3 linked regions of the Canis lupus familiaris genome follow. The protein of the gene in region 1 interacts with the protein of each later gene in a biochemical or structural test. Links are inferred from orthologs where the notes say so. Each region holds a gene or a part of one and is shown on either strand. Other genes may lie near its edges. The genes, in order: RBSN, RAB5A and RAB5C.

Region 1 (3,648 bases):
TGATACCAGACTCTGTGTTCCAATCATGTCTTATCCTGCAGCTAGAATGCAAACAAACTGATCATCTAGGTTTCTTGGACAGCTGAAAGGCCTCCGTGATCTTTAATGAGTGTCCATTCTGAGTGTCCGCTGAACTGAGTCACATACTGTGACGTCACTAAGACTTTGATGCTAGTGGGTACAGAGGTTAGACAATATCTTCAGCTTCTTGTGGTGATTTATTTCTTAGAGGAAAAATGTTTAAGGTTACTTAGGGAATAATCGTATGGGAATCCACTTAGAATAAAAGAGTAGGAATTTTATGAGTTGTGAAAGAAATTTGTAAGAATTCTCTTGTGTTTTTCCCCTCTCTTTTCCCTGTACCTCAAAAGAACTAAGAAATTGAGTTAAGGATTCCTTTAGTCTAATGATCATTTGTTTAGTCAGGAAGGAAGTCTTGTTTGTGTGGGAGTTTTCTGTGTTTCTGAATCAGGAAAGTAAAGTTTTAAAGACTGACAGCAAAGATTTTTGAAAAGTCCTTTAAAAAGCAGGTCATCTCTTCATTTGGTCTTTCGGTTCTTAAAAATTTCATGACATTGCTGGTTTTGTCAAGTGAAATGTTAAAGCCAAAAGAGCAAACCTTGGGATCAGGTTTTGGTGGCAGTTTACGAAAGAAAATATAAACTTGTCATTAGTAGGTGGTGAGCGAATTTGGGCCTCAGCCCTGGTTCATCTTTAGTTTAGCGCCTGTACGGTAAGTATAAGAAAGGATGGTTGGAAATTAACTGTGGCTTCTACTCTGTGTTTTGTTGTTGTTATGGGATTGTTCTTCATTGGCCGCCTCTTGAAGTGCTACACCTGAGAAGGTTGCCAGAGTATTCTTCTGTCCTCATACAGTGGTTAAATGCATGTACTGCCTGTTTAACTTGACACAGTTTAGTCTTGTTTGCAGAAATGAATTAGTGATTGCTAACTCCAATTTCCTGTCTGCTAACCCTTTGTTTACCTCAGGCAGTTTTCTCTCCCATGTTGAGAGATTACTTGAACGTATTTTAGATGGTGTCCATTAGTCCTGGTGGACCTTATTTTTCCAGTGGAAGAAAGCCATCTCAAAGTGGCTATTAGCTTGACTGTCTAACACAGCCATATCTATAAGCTTTACAGTCTCCCTCCTCTGCCTGCCAGTCCTTCCATATCGACATTTCCCTAGGTTTTTGGAAAGCTGTGGTAGTGTTTTTAATGTTATTCAGATGATAGAGCACTTCAGAATTGTGGGAACTCCGTAAAGTATTGATCTATTAAATCTAAAAGAATTGTATTTTGTATTAAGTCTGATATTTACTACTAGATTCTAGAGGGAGAAGGAGATATCACCTAAGATTTAAGAGCCTTAATGAAAGCAACTTAGAATCAAGAATTTCCCCCCATAAGTTGACTGTTGTTCCTTTTTAACAGCAGGTCCTCTTACCTCAGCACAGATAGCAGAAAAACCCTGTTCTGTAGAGGCATAGTTTTTGAATCATGCTGGCTGGGGAGAACTGGGGTTCTTATTTTAAACAGATAAGGTTTCCACTTGCATCCCTGCTGCCTTATAAGCTCTTGTGATCTGGGGTGCAGCAAGGTTTTCCTCTCTTTTTGTCATGTCCTCATTTATAAGTAGGGATACTACCTGCTTCATAATGTGAGCAGGCGTTGGCCTGATTTTTTGAAAGCACTTTCTTTTGTGCCTGGTACATGCAAAGAATCAATCCAGGAAGCATTCATTTTCTCTTCTTACCAAGTCTGGTTCCTTTTGTGTTATGTTGTAGCTGTTATACCTGTTTCTTGAAGCTTTTTATCAGTGTCCTCATACATGCATTCATTCAGTAAGTGAGTGGGGGAAGAACTCTATGTACAGCTAAGCATTATGGGAAACACTAGTCCAGGGATGCACATTTGGTTGAATTCTCTCCTGGAAGTAAACAAGTATTTACTCATGAGAGCATAAAATAAATAAATTAATTAATACTGTAGAATTTAATTTAAAAAAAAACGTTATTTTAATTGAAATATAGTTTACACTTAAGTTTTTACATCTACAGTTAAGTGGGTTTTAAAAACTGTATATACCCATGTGATTCTCTCCCCAGTTAAGATCTAGAAAAAAACATTTCCGTTACCTCGGTCCCCTCATTGAAATAGATTTTAATTCTTTAATTGGGCTCTTAAATTTGGCAACGAGCAGTAATTTAGCTCTATAATCGCTACATAAACCAACTTAGTAACCAGTGAATGGGTTGCTCTGTGGTATTTGTAATACAGCGGTTGTGGACTTACTATTGGAATTTACTTGATATATAAAATTTTTTATATAAAGTGTAGTCATTTCATCAACTCTTGCGTTTTGAGATTTCTCTTGACTTTTTAGTAGATTTTATGGATTCATTGTGTTTGCTTCATTTTTCAAGGTCTTGTGCAGAAGGCTAAGAAAGCCAAGAACAGGCTGTTGAAACGAGAAGGAGATGACCGAGTAGAATCAGGGACACAAGGATACGAGTCTTTCAGTTATGGAGGGGTTGACCCATACATGTGGGAACCCCAGGAACTAGGTAAGAAATTCTGTTCATTCATTTAGCAAATGTTTGAACATCATTGTGTTCATTGTTTTAAGAGTTAGCTGAGAGAAAAAAAAAAGTGGAGTGGGGAGAGGTGCCTGGATGGCTCAGTCAGTTAAGTGTTATCCCCCCGCTCCGCCCCGCTATGTGGTTGCTGCTCAGGTAATGATCTCACTTGGGTTGTGAGGTGAAGCCCCTTGTTGGGCTCCACACTCAGTGGGAGTTTGCTTGAAGATTCTCTCCTTCTGCCCCTCCCCCTACTCACATGCTTATTCTATCTTTCTAAAATAAATAAATCTGAGGCCTGGATGGCTCAGTCAATTAAGCATCTGCCTTTGGCTTAGGTCATGATCCACGACCCTGGGCTGGAGCCCCAAATCGGGCTCCCTGCTCAGTGGGGAGCATGCTTCTCCCTCTGCCTACAGCTTACTCTGCTTGTGCTCTCTCTCTGTCAAATAAACAAAATCTTTTATAAAAACAAAAATATTTTAAAAAGATTTTATTCAGAGTTAAATAGCTAAGAAACTATGGAACTGAGGTAGGAATCCAGGTGTTTGACATCAGCCCACGTAGAGGCTCCATTGACTGGGTTATTTCCTCTCATGTAGGATGTTACCTGCCCAGCAAGAGATACTGATTTATGCAACTTAATTTTCTGAAACACATAATCATGGTACCATCTACTGACTTTCAAAATAATTATCTTTTTGGGGTAATGAAAATGTTCTAAAATTTATTTTGGTGATGGTTGTACAACTCAATATGCTAAAAACCATGGAATTTGTATGCTTCAAATAGTGAATTGTATGTGTGAATAATATCTCAACAGATCTGTTACCAAAAATGCCACATGAAGTTGAACTAACTCATTTTACATGTCCTTTAACTGTTTAATGGTAACAAAATTTAATATATTTTCTGTCTGTGCAATGGATAAACAATGATTTCCTTATAAGATTTTTTATTATTATTATTATTATTACTATTCATGAGAGACACAGAGACATAGGCAGAAGGAGAAGCAAGCTCCCTGTGGGGAGCCTGATGCAGGACTCTATCCCAGGACTATTATTAA
Region 2 (3,648 bases), on another chromosome or scaffold:
GCTCAAAAAATACAGTACCTGCAAGAGGAACACTGTAACACTGCTCTTACATATAATTCTATAACCTAAACCATACGTCTGACCTTTCTTTGACGATCAGTGCATACAAAATTAAACTGTAGTATAAGACATTTATCTTTCAAAAGAAAAAAATTGAATGCCTGCATCTTATTTCATTGCATATTCTAATCCTGCTCTTACACTGAAGAGCATTTTGTTTAAAAATTTGTTTTTAAACAAATTTGTTTTAAACAAACTTGTTTAAAAATAGCATTTAACTATGTTTAAAAACAAGTAGTTTTTTTGACAAAAGTACCTCACTTGAAATCTTTAAAGTCTTTAGCTACTTAAGATGTTAAGTGAAAGATGGCCCACCAATATTTATTCGATATTTATTGAAGCAATACTAAGCCTCCAGATGAGATAGTAGGAAGGAGACAACCACCTGAGCATTAATATTCCTTGCTAACCTTCTGGGCTTGTCTTAAACACTAAGACTTCAAAGCAGACTTTAAAGCCCTACAGATAAGCTAGAACTCCTCAAAATGCTTAACCCACAACCTAACTACCTAACCTCATTGTGAGTGCTACAGGGTCAAGGGGCAAATTGTATAGGACACTGCGAGACAACATGGATTCTGAAATTAAGCTATCATGTCTAAGAAGAAACACATAAACTACCCTGATATTCTTGATGAATGTAAGGTTCTAGAATACACAAATTCGAGAGTATAGCATATGATTCCCACATTAAAACACAGATGAAAATTTTAGGTGAGTCTTCACACCATAACGAATATTACTAGATACAAACAATCAAAAAAAATCAAGCACAGATAAAATGCAAAACATTTGGTCAAGTTCATTTAGATAAATCTTACCACACATCAGCCAAAACAAAAATACATATTACAAGTTACGGACCCGTTGTGGTCATCATTAAATTGCTTAAACCTTGAAATCCTTGAATGCTTAAACAGAATACTATCAAAGTTCCTAAGAGGGAAGAGCTGTAAGCAAAGAACATAAAAGAACAGCACTCACTGTAAAAACATCAAATCAATGCCTCACATCTTAACTTTACACAATGTTTTATGTCAATTATGTCTCCAAACAAAACCAAAAACTAGTAATCACAGCTGTAATCATAATGGATGTAATCATAATGGCACCATACCTCCTAAAGATATTAATATGTGGTCAACATCCACTGACACAGAAATTTGTATATAAATTCCTTTTAAAGTTGATTTTAAAAGCTAGATTTGATCTGTACAAGTAGAATATTAAGGAAGCTTTACACGTAGGAACAAAAAACTTGAAAAACTGATGAAATGTAAACAAGCTAATTTGTATTAAATGGAAATGGAGATTTTTATATATGCATATATACACTTATCAGAAGATATGTATGACTCATTGATACAGGGATTAAATTTTTCTTGTAAATGTCCTCCCTTGAAATGTCAGTAGGAAAAAATAAATTTGGATGACCATAATATCCAAAACAAAAACGAAGATTCTAGTCTTAGGCTGCTGAGGCTCCTGTAGTTTCCCAGAAATTCAATTCTTTACCATAGTACTTCAGTGTTTTTGTTATTTTAGTATGTACTGTGAAAAGAGGGAGGGTGGCATATATCAAGGCCCAATCCTGTCTGGCCCAGGTATTATAGCCTCAAATGCATATGTACTTTGGGAATTGCTGCCCCTGAAAACCACTTGAGAAGTGTTATTACCGTGAGAGGTAATATTTCATTACTAAACCAAATATATATGTTTGTGGGTATGTATACATACATATATATTAACAAAGATACCACAAAGAATGTATAATATATTGTTCATTAGATTTCTAACTCAAAAGCCCCTTATCATGGACCACATTTTTGATGCTCACCCATTATAAAAACATAAAACACTACAGGTGCCTGGGTGGCTCAGTCAGCTAGAGCTGACCCTTGATTTCAGCTCAGGTCTTGATCTCAGGATCCTGGGATCATGCCCCCCTGAGGGGCTCCACACACAGTGGGGAGTCTGCTTGAGGATTCTCTCTTCCCACTGCCCCTACCCACACCTACCACCCGGTGCTTTCTTTCTCAATAAATAAATCTTATAAAACACTAAAACACAACACTGTGTAACTTGATAGACACAAAAACAAAAGAGGTTGATAATCCTCACTCATTCTAAGTCTATTAAAGTGGAAATTAGTCTATTTACGTGGAAATACCACGTAAGTAGTATATTTCTCGTATGCAGGCAAAGCCAAGAGATAGTATAGTTTTACAAACTATTTTACTGGAAGGATTTGAACTATGTATAAAATTCCCAAGTGTACTTGAGGACAAACACCAAATGCACAACATAGAGTTATACTTCTAAAAGATCTGAAGTTGTTACATGTCATTAGTCTCATGCATGTCAAAAGTTTGAGTTTTTTATATGTATGAGATTAAAATACACTTATGCATTCCTTTAAAAATATAGTACTGTTTAATTACACGCCCCTTGCAAAATACTGATCTTAAAGCTGTGCTTCCTGATACTACCCAATTCAAAAGCTTCATATGATAGATGAAACCAAGGCCCTGAAAAGGCTCTTCTGCCCCACTGCTATATAGTTGTGAATTTGATTAAATTCAATTATCAAATTTCCTGTCTTCTACCCACAACACTGCACTATGAGTTGTCTCTGTCCTGCCTCTTACCTTCCCCTCATCTCAGCTCTAACACAATTATTGTATTCAGTGCTTACTCTACACTCTTATCCCCTCCTTCATCTTTCCCGACAGGTCCCATTTCCCTTTCATGTCCCTCTTCATTGATCATTGACTTTTTCTCTTCCTTCAATCTAGGAGCATTCTTATGCAAGTTTAATACAAGTTAATTAATTTTACTAATCAGTATAATTCATAAATAGTCCAACTATATAGAATTAGAATTTTAAGGTTAACTTTTACTATTTTCATTACTCATTCTAAAGCCAATATAATTTAGCACAAATGCATATTAATTTGAAGAAGTCTCTAATCATTATCAAGGAACAGGTATCAGATCAAATTCAATTACTTGGGACATTGACTCTGTTCATGCTTGTATATGTATTCCAGCTTTTACACAACCATCTTGGGGGTAACCAGGAAATCAAAATGTAGGAAGATGCTACCTACACAAAAATCCAGATAATTTTTAAATCTTGAAGTCTGCTGAACAGTTTTCTTCACTGTGTGACCTATTTTAGGTATTCATCATCATGCAACTGGAAATGCAAAATTTTTGCCAATGTATAATTCAATTAAATGAAGGGAAAAAGAAAATCTCACCCCCTATGGTACTCTCTTGAAATTCATGAAATTGGCCCTTCACAAAACGAAGCACTAGGCTTGATTTGCCAACAGCAGACTCTCCCAGAAGTACTAGTTTGAACTGGCATATTTTATTTCCAGTATTTGGCCCGTTGGGTCTTGTTGCTCCTCGATTAGCCATGTCCAAATTTGAAAGAAGTCCCTAATTTCAGTCTCTTAAATGAACTTCCAGGATGCAAGGTGTCAAATTTTTTCTTTCTGGATATACAGAAACCTGCACAAAAACAAATATTAAGTAATTAAATACACAAATCAGTAAACAAATCCAACAATCACTTCAGTA
Region 3 (4,299 bases), on another chromosome or scaffold:
TGTCAGCCAATTGTCAGGCCCTGAAGAGTACTGAGCTGGGACTCCTAACTGCCATGGTCCCCAGAGGCAGAGGAGATGGGGATCCAGGATGATGGCAGGACAGAGTGGGGGTGGGGAAGTAAATGGAAGCAGAGGGGCATCAAGGATGAGGGATGCTTAAGGGTCTCTGCACTGGGGCCTCTGCTTGCTCACTTTGCATGCTCATTCCTTAAACAGACCCAAGAAGGGACCACTCTTAGGGAAGATGAGGCACATCAAATCCCAAATCCCAAACCTCAACTCCACCACTTTCTAACTGGATGATCTAAGGCTAGCTACTTAAATTCCTTCAGCCTCATCTCTAAAACGGAGATACAAATCCCACTATCTCCCAGGACTCTTGTGAGGAACAGGTGTGAAAATATAATATTGTTTCCTGTGAGAAACATGTGTGAAAAAACTGCAACTTTGGCTGCCCAGGTGGGTCAGTCAGGTTCAGCCTCTGCCTTGGCTCAGGTCGTGATCCCGGGGTCCTGGCATAGAGTCCCACACCAGGCTCTCTGCTCTGAGGGGAGCCTGCTTCTCCCTGTCTCTGCCTCCCCCACCCTGCCCCGCCTCTCATGAATAAATACAATCTTTAAAAGAAAAAAACTGCAACTTTAAAGTGATTTCTAAAAATCAGTTGTTACCACCTCTCTGTTGTATGAAGGCAGGAAAAGGCCAACTAGTTGGAAGAGGCAAGAGAGGAGAGGCTTCTGTCTCACACAGAGCCCTCCCTCTTTCTGCCAAGTAACATCAGAGCTCTGCTTGGACTCTACAATCTCTGGATGCCAGAAGTGGCAGCCTAACTACCTAACTACCGGGGCAATGATGCCTTCCATGTCTCTCTGAAAACAAGAGCTTCTCCTTCAAAAAACCTGTTTTAGAATCCTAGCTGGGAGAGCATGTCCAGACAAAGACGGTCCCCTCAGAAGGCTGGCAGCCTCATCCTGGGACTCCCAAAGAGTTCCAGAAACCACAGCCCACTACCGAGGAGGTAAGTCTGGTCAGAGACCAGTGGCCAGTGAGCAGAGAGGCTTCTCTGGTCTGTCCCTCAGAGGCACAGGCTGACCAGATTAGAGAAACTAAGCTGGCCGCAGAAGTCTCCAACGACTTTCCAAAGAAGACCACACAGATAGAGAGCTTGTGATCCAACCACTGATCCTAATAAGGTAGGCTTTCTTGTTGTCCAATAAAAAATGAAATGAGTACAACCCAGGTCTAGCTCAAAAGTTTGTAGGAGTTGGACCCTGGTGACTGTCCACAAGAAGTCAAAAAGATCCCAAGACAAAAAATGTTTAGCACCTGTAAGGACAGTAAAGATGGCCCGAAACACTGAAGAGCTACTGAAATTCCCAAAGGCTGCATGGCCTCTCCTCCCTCCCTTGGCTGTAGATAGCAAGGGTCAGTCATGGCCTCAAAGAGTCAGGCTACTCTCATTAAGGTATAGTCTCTGGCCTGTACTTTGGCCACATAACAAAACCTGCGAACCTGGTCTGAGACAACAGCCATTTCACACACCTAAGTCCCAAGCAACAGACAAGGATCAGATGTCAGCACAGGCTGCCTCTTGGAAAGGCTGGAGGGGGGGCAGGGGGCGCGGGCGGGGCGGATGTCAGCACTTTCCAGCATACATGAGAATTCCTTGGGCTACAAAAATTAACACATTAAGAACCCAGAGGTGCCACTGTGGTCTCAATTCACTTCTCTGTAATCTATAATCTGTTCAAGCCTCCCGGAAGGGACTGGAGAGAGGCCCTGGGACTAGAAGTGGCAGAGACCTGTTGATCAAGGAGAGGGGTATGTGTGTCTGAGAGTGGGAATGAGATAGGCCAGGACCCTTCACTTCCACAGTCCTTATTTCTGGTCTTTCCCCTATTCCCTAAAGACCAGCAGACAGCAGTCCCAGGAGGAGCAGTCCCTCTGAAGCAGCTTGGAAACCACTCACGTGCTCTGGGAGGACAGGGCTGAGCCTGGAGCAAGGGGGAGGGGGAGAGGAGGGGAGAGAGAAGATAATGAATGGGCAGATCCACCATGATCTGTGATCTGTAGCTAGGATTAAGCAAACCTCAGCTAAATTTTTCAGAGGCAGGAAGAGAGATAGATACACTCAGAGAGCACAACTAGAGAACAACATAACCAGAGGACAGAGTTGGGGTGGAGGGGGCAAGATAAGGAGGCAACAGCTCATTCCTAAAAAGTGGCCTAGACTTTAAATCCTGCTGGGATCCTGGCTGGCTCCCTGGGCTTGAGGAAAGAGAGGAAGTGAGGAGTTGTGGGAGTCTGTGTGTGTGGAAGGCTCTCACCCAGGACCCCTCCGCCCCCACCCCGCCCCAGGAAATCGAGATAAAATTTCTCTAGGGCTGGAGGAGACAACTGTTTTTGTGGGACGGTTGGGGGGGGGGGGTGCGAGGAAAACGGCGACAGACAGCACTCCTCGCCGCCTCTATAGAGAAGGAAGACCGACTCCTTCACACCTAGCAAAGATTCCTCCAGTTCTGGGAGCAGAGAGAGCAGAATCTGTGGTCTCTGCCTCCCACAACTGGACTGGACAGGCCAGAGGAGAACCCTGGCGGCTTCCCAAGGCTCATAAAGGGCAGGTAAGGGAAGGAAAGGAGGGCCCCCCCTTTGGCCCGACGCCTGGGGAGCCCCTGAAGAGGGGGCTACGGGTCGGGGGAGGGGTCAGTATCCCCCTAAGCCGGGGTTGGGCGGGAGGAAGTGTTGCCCCGAACGGCCTCAACGCGAGCGAGACACTAGGCCCCGGGACAGGCACACTCACGGCGTCTCCGGGGCGGCGGCGTTACTTGGGGCCGGGGCTCGGACAGGCTCCGCTCCTCTCCCCCCGGCGGTGTCCCAGGCTCCGGCCTCCACTTCCGCCTTTCAGCCGCTCCGGATCCGGATCTCCACCTCAGACCCGCCCCTCAATACCAGATGACTGACAAGGTGGAGAGACCAATGGGAGGCACTCTTGGCCGACTCACCGGCGACGCCTTTGGGGGGCAAGGGAGAGGCGGGAGAGCGCGCGCGAGGGACGGCGGGACTTGTAGTTCTCAGCGCTGGGAGGAGCCGGTGGCCGCCTGGGACTTAGGCTTAGGGTGGAGCCGGCTGCCGGCGAGGCGGAGCTCGGCCGGGAACTTCTTAAAGCCAGGGCTGCCAACAGCGTCACCCTGGGTTCCAGGAGCCCCGAGGGGAGGCGGGTGGTGGGGCGCTGGAAGAGGGCAGAAGGCTGTGTGTGCAGAATTGGTTAAGGAAAAACATGGTGTGAATGAATGCACAGGAGGCCGCAGTCCTGAACACTGGCTAAACCCGAGAAGCCCCTGTCTGCACTTTCTCAGGCCAAGTCAGCTCCGGGAGCTCGACTATTGGGGACATTCTGCGATGGGGAAGGTGATGGAAGTGCTAATAGGAAGGGTTCTCGAGGTGTGGAGAGCTCCTGCCACTTGTCAGTCATAAACCAGGACCCTCCTCCTTTGGCCGGACACCAAGACTCCAGGATCACCTCTACCTCTGCCTCCCACACCTCCAGCCAGAATCAGCTCATGTCTCTGTTGCCAGAAACAGAGCCGGACCACTTCTGCTTTGACTCTCTCTCCATCCATAAACACAGATTAGAACGACTTCTGTTTGCCTCCCCCACCGTGACCTCCGTATGGATCAGGACTTTCTTTCTTTCTTTCTTTCTTTCTTTCTTTCTTTCTTTCTTTCTTTCTTTCTTTCTTTCTTTCTTTCTTTCTTTCTTTCTTTCTTTCTTTCTTTCTTCTTTCTTTCTTTCTTTCTTTCTTTCTTTCTTTCTTCTTTCTTCTTTCTTTCTTTCTTTCTTTTCTTTCTTTCTTTTTTTCTTTCTTTCTTTTTTTTTTTCTTTCCTCAATGTGGATTAGGACCACTTCTTGTCTCCGCCCACCCCCATCCCCCAACACAGACCGGTATCTCCTCTGCCTTTGTGTCCCACTCCCTGGAACAGTACTCAAAACCTGTATGCAATCAAAGCTCAGGCCAGAGAGAGCTGTAGGCGTTGCTCCTGTGACATGGGTGAACACCAATCATATTTTGGAGCCTGAGCTGGAGAATCAACCTGTTTGGGACAGCCTGCCATAAAACTGCCCACACCTAGTTCCATCTGGTCACCAGGGTGCTTCTTTCTAACAATATTCATAACTCCCATCTCCCTACCCCTGCACCCCTTCAGTGATCATCTGAGAAATGAAAGCTAAGAGGGAAGAGAGGCTTGGGAGAGCAAAGGAGACAGGGCAGAGTAGAATTCCTAACAGGTTCTTGGCTAGT

What was found.
Region 2: the proteins of RBSN (region 1) and RAB5A form a complex in vitro, tested with the Homo sapiens proteins (3 studies listed by BioGRID, with this or other methods). The link is inferred for Canis lupus familiaris from reciprocal best matches to the Homo sapiens genes RBSN and RAB5A.
Region 3: the proteins of RBSN (region 1) and RAB5C form a complex in vitro, tested with the Homo sapiens proteins (2 studies listed by BioGRID and IntAct, with this or other methods). The link is inferred for Canis lupus familiaris from reciprocal best matches to the Homo sapiens genes RBSN and RAB5C.

What each region holds. Positions count from the first base shown.
Region 1 is NC_049241.1:5,251,067-5,254,714, reverse strand, and holds part of RBSN (rabenosyn-5), read left to right. Parts: intron 1-2,426; coding exon 2,427-2,567; intron 2,568-3,648. UniProt on the Homo sapiens protein: Rab4/Rab5 effector protein acting in early endocytic membrane fusion and membrane trafficking of recycling endosomes. Required for endosome fusion either homotypically or with clathrin coated vesicles.
Region 2 is NC_049244.1:23,836,257-23,839,904, forward strand, and holds part of RAB5A (ras-related protein Rab-5A), read right to left. Parts: intron 3,580-3,648; 5' UTR 3,487-3,579; coding exon 3,324-3,486; intron 1-3,323. UniProt on the Homo sapiens protein: The small GTPases Rab are key regulators of intracellular membrane trafficking, from the formation of transport vesicles to their fusion with membranes.
Region 3 is NC_049230.1:20,627,265-20,631,563, reverse strand, and holds the start of RAB5C (ras-related protein Rab-5C), read right to left. Parts: upstream 2,811-4,299; 5' UTR 2,798-2,810; intron 1-2,797. UniProt on the Homo sapiens protein: The small GTPases Rab are key regulators of intracellular membrane trafficking, from the formation of transport vesicles to their fusion with membranes.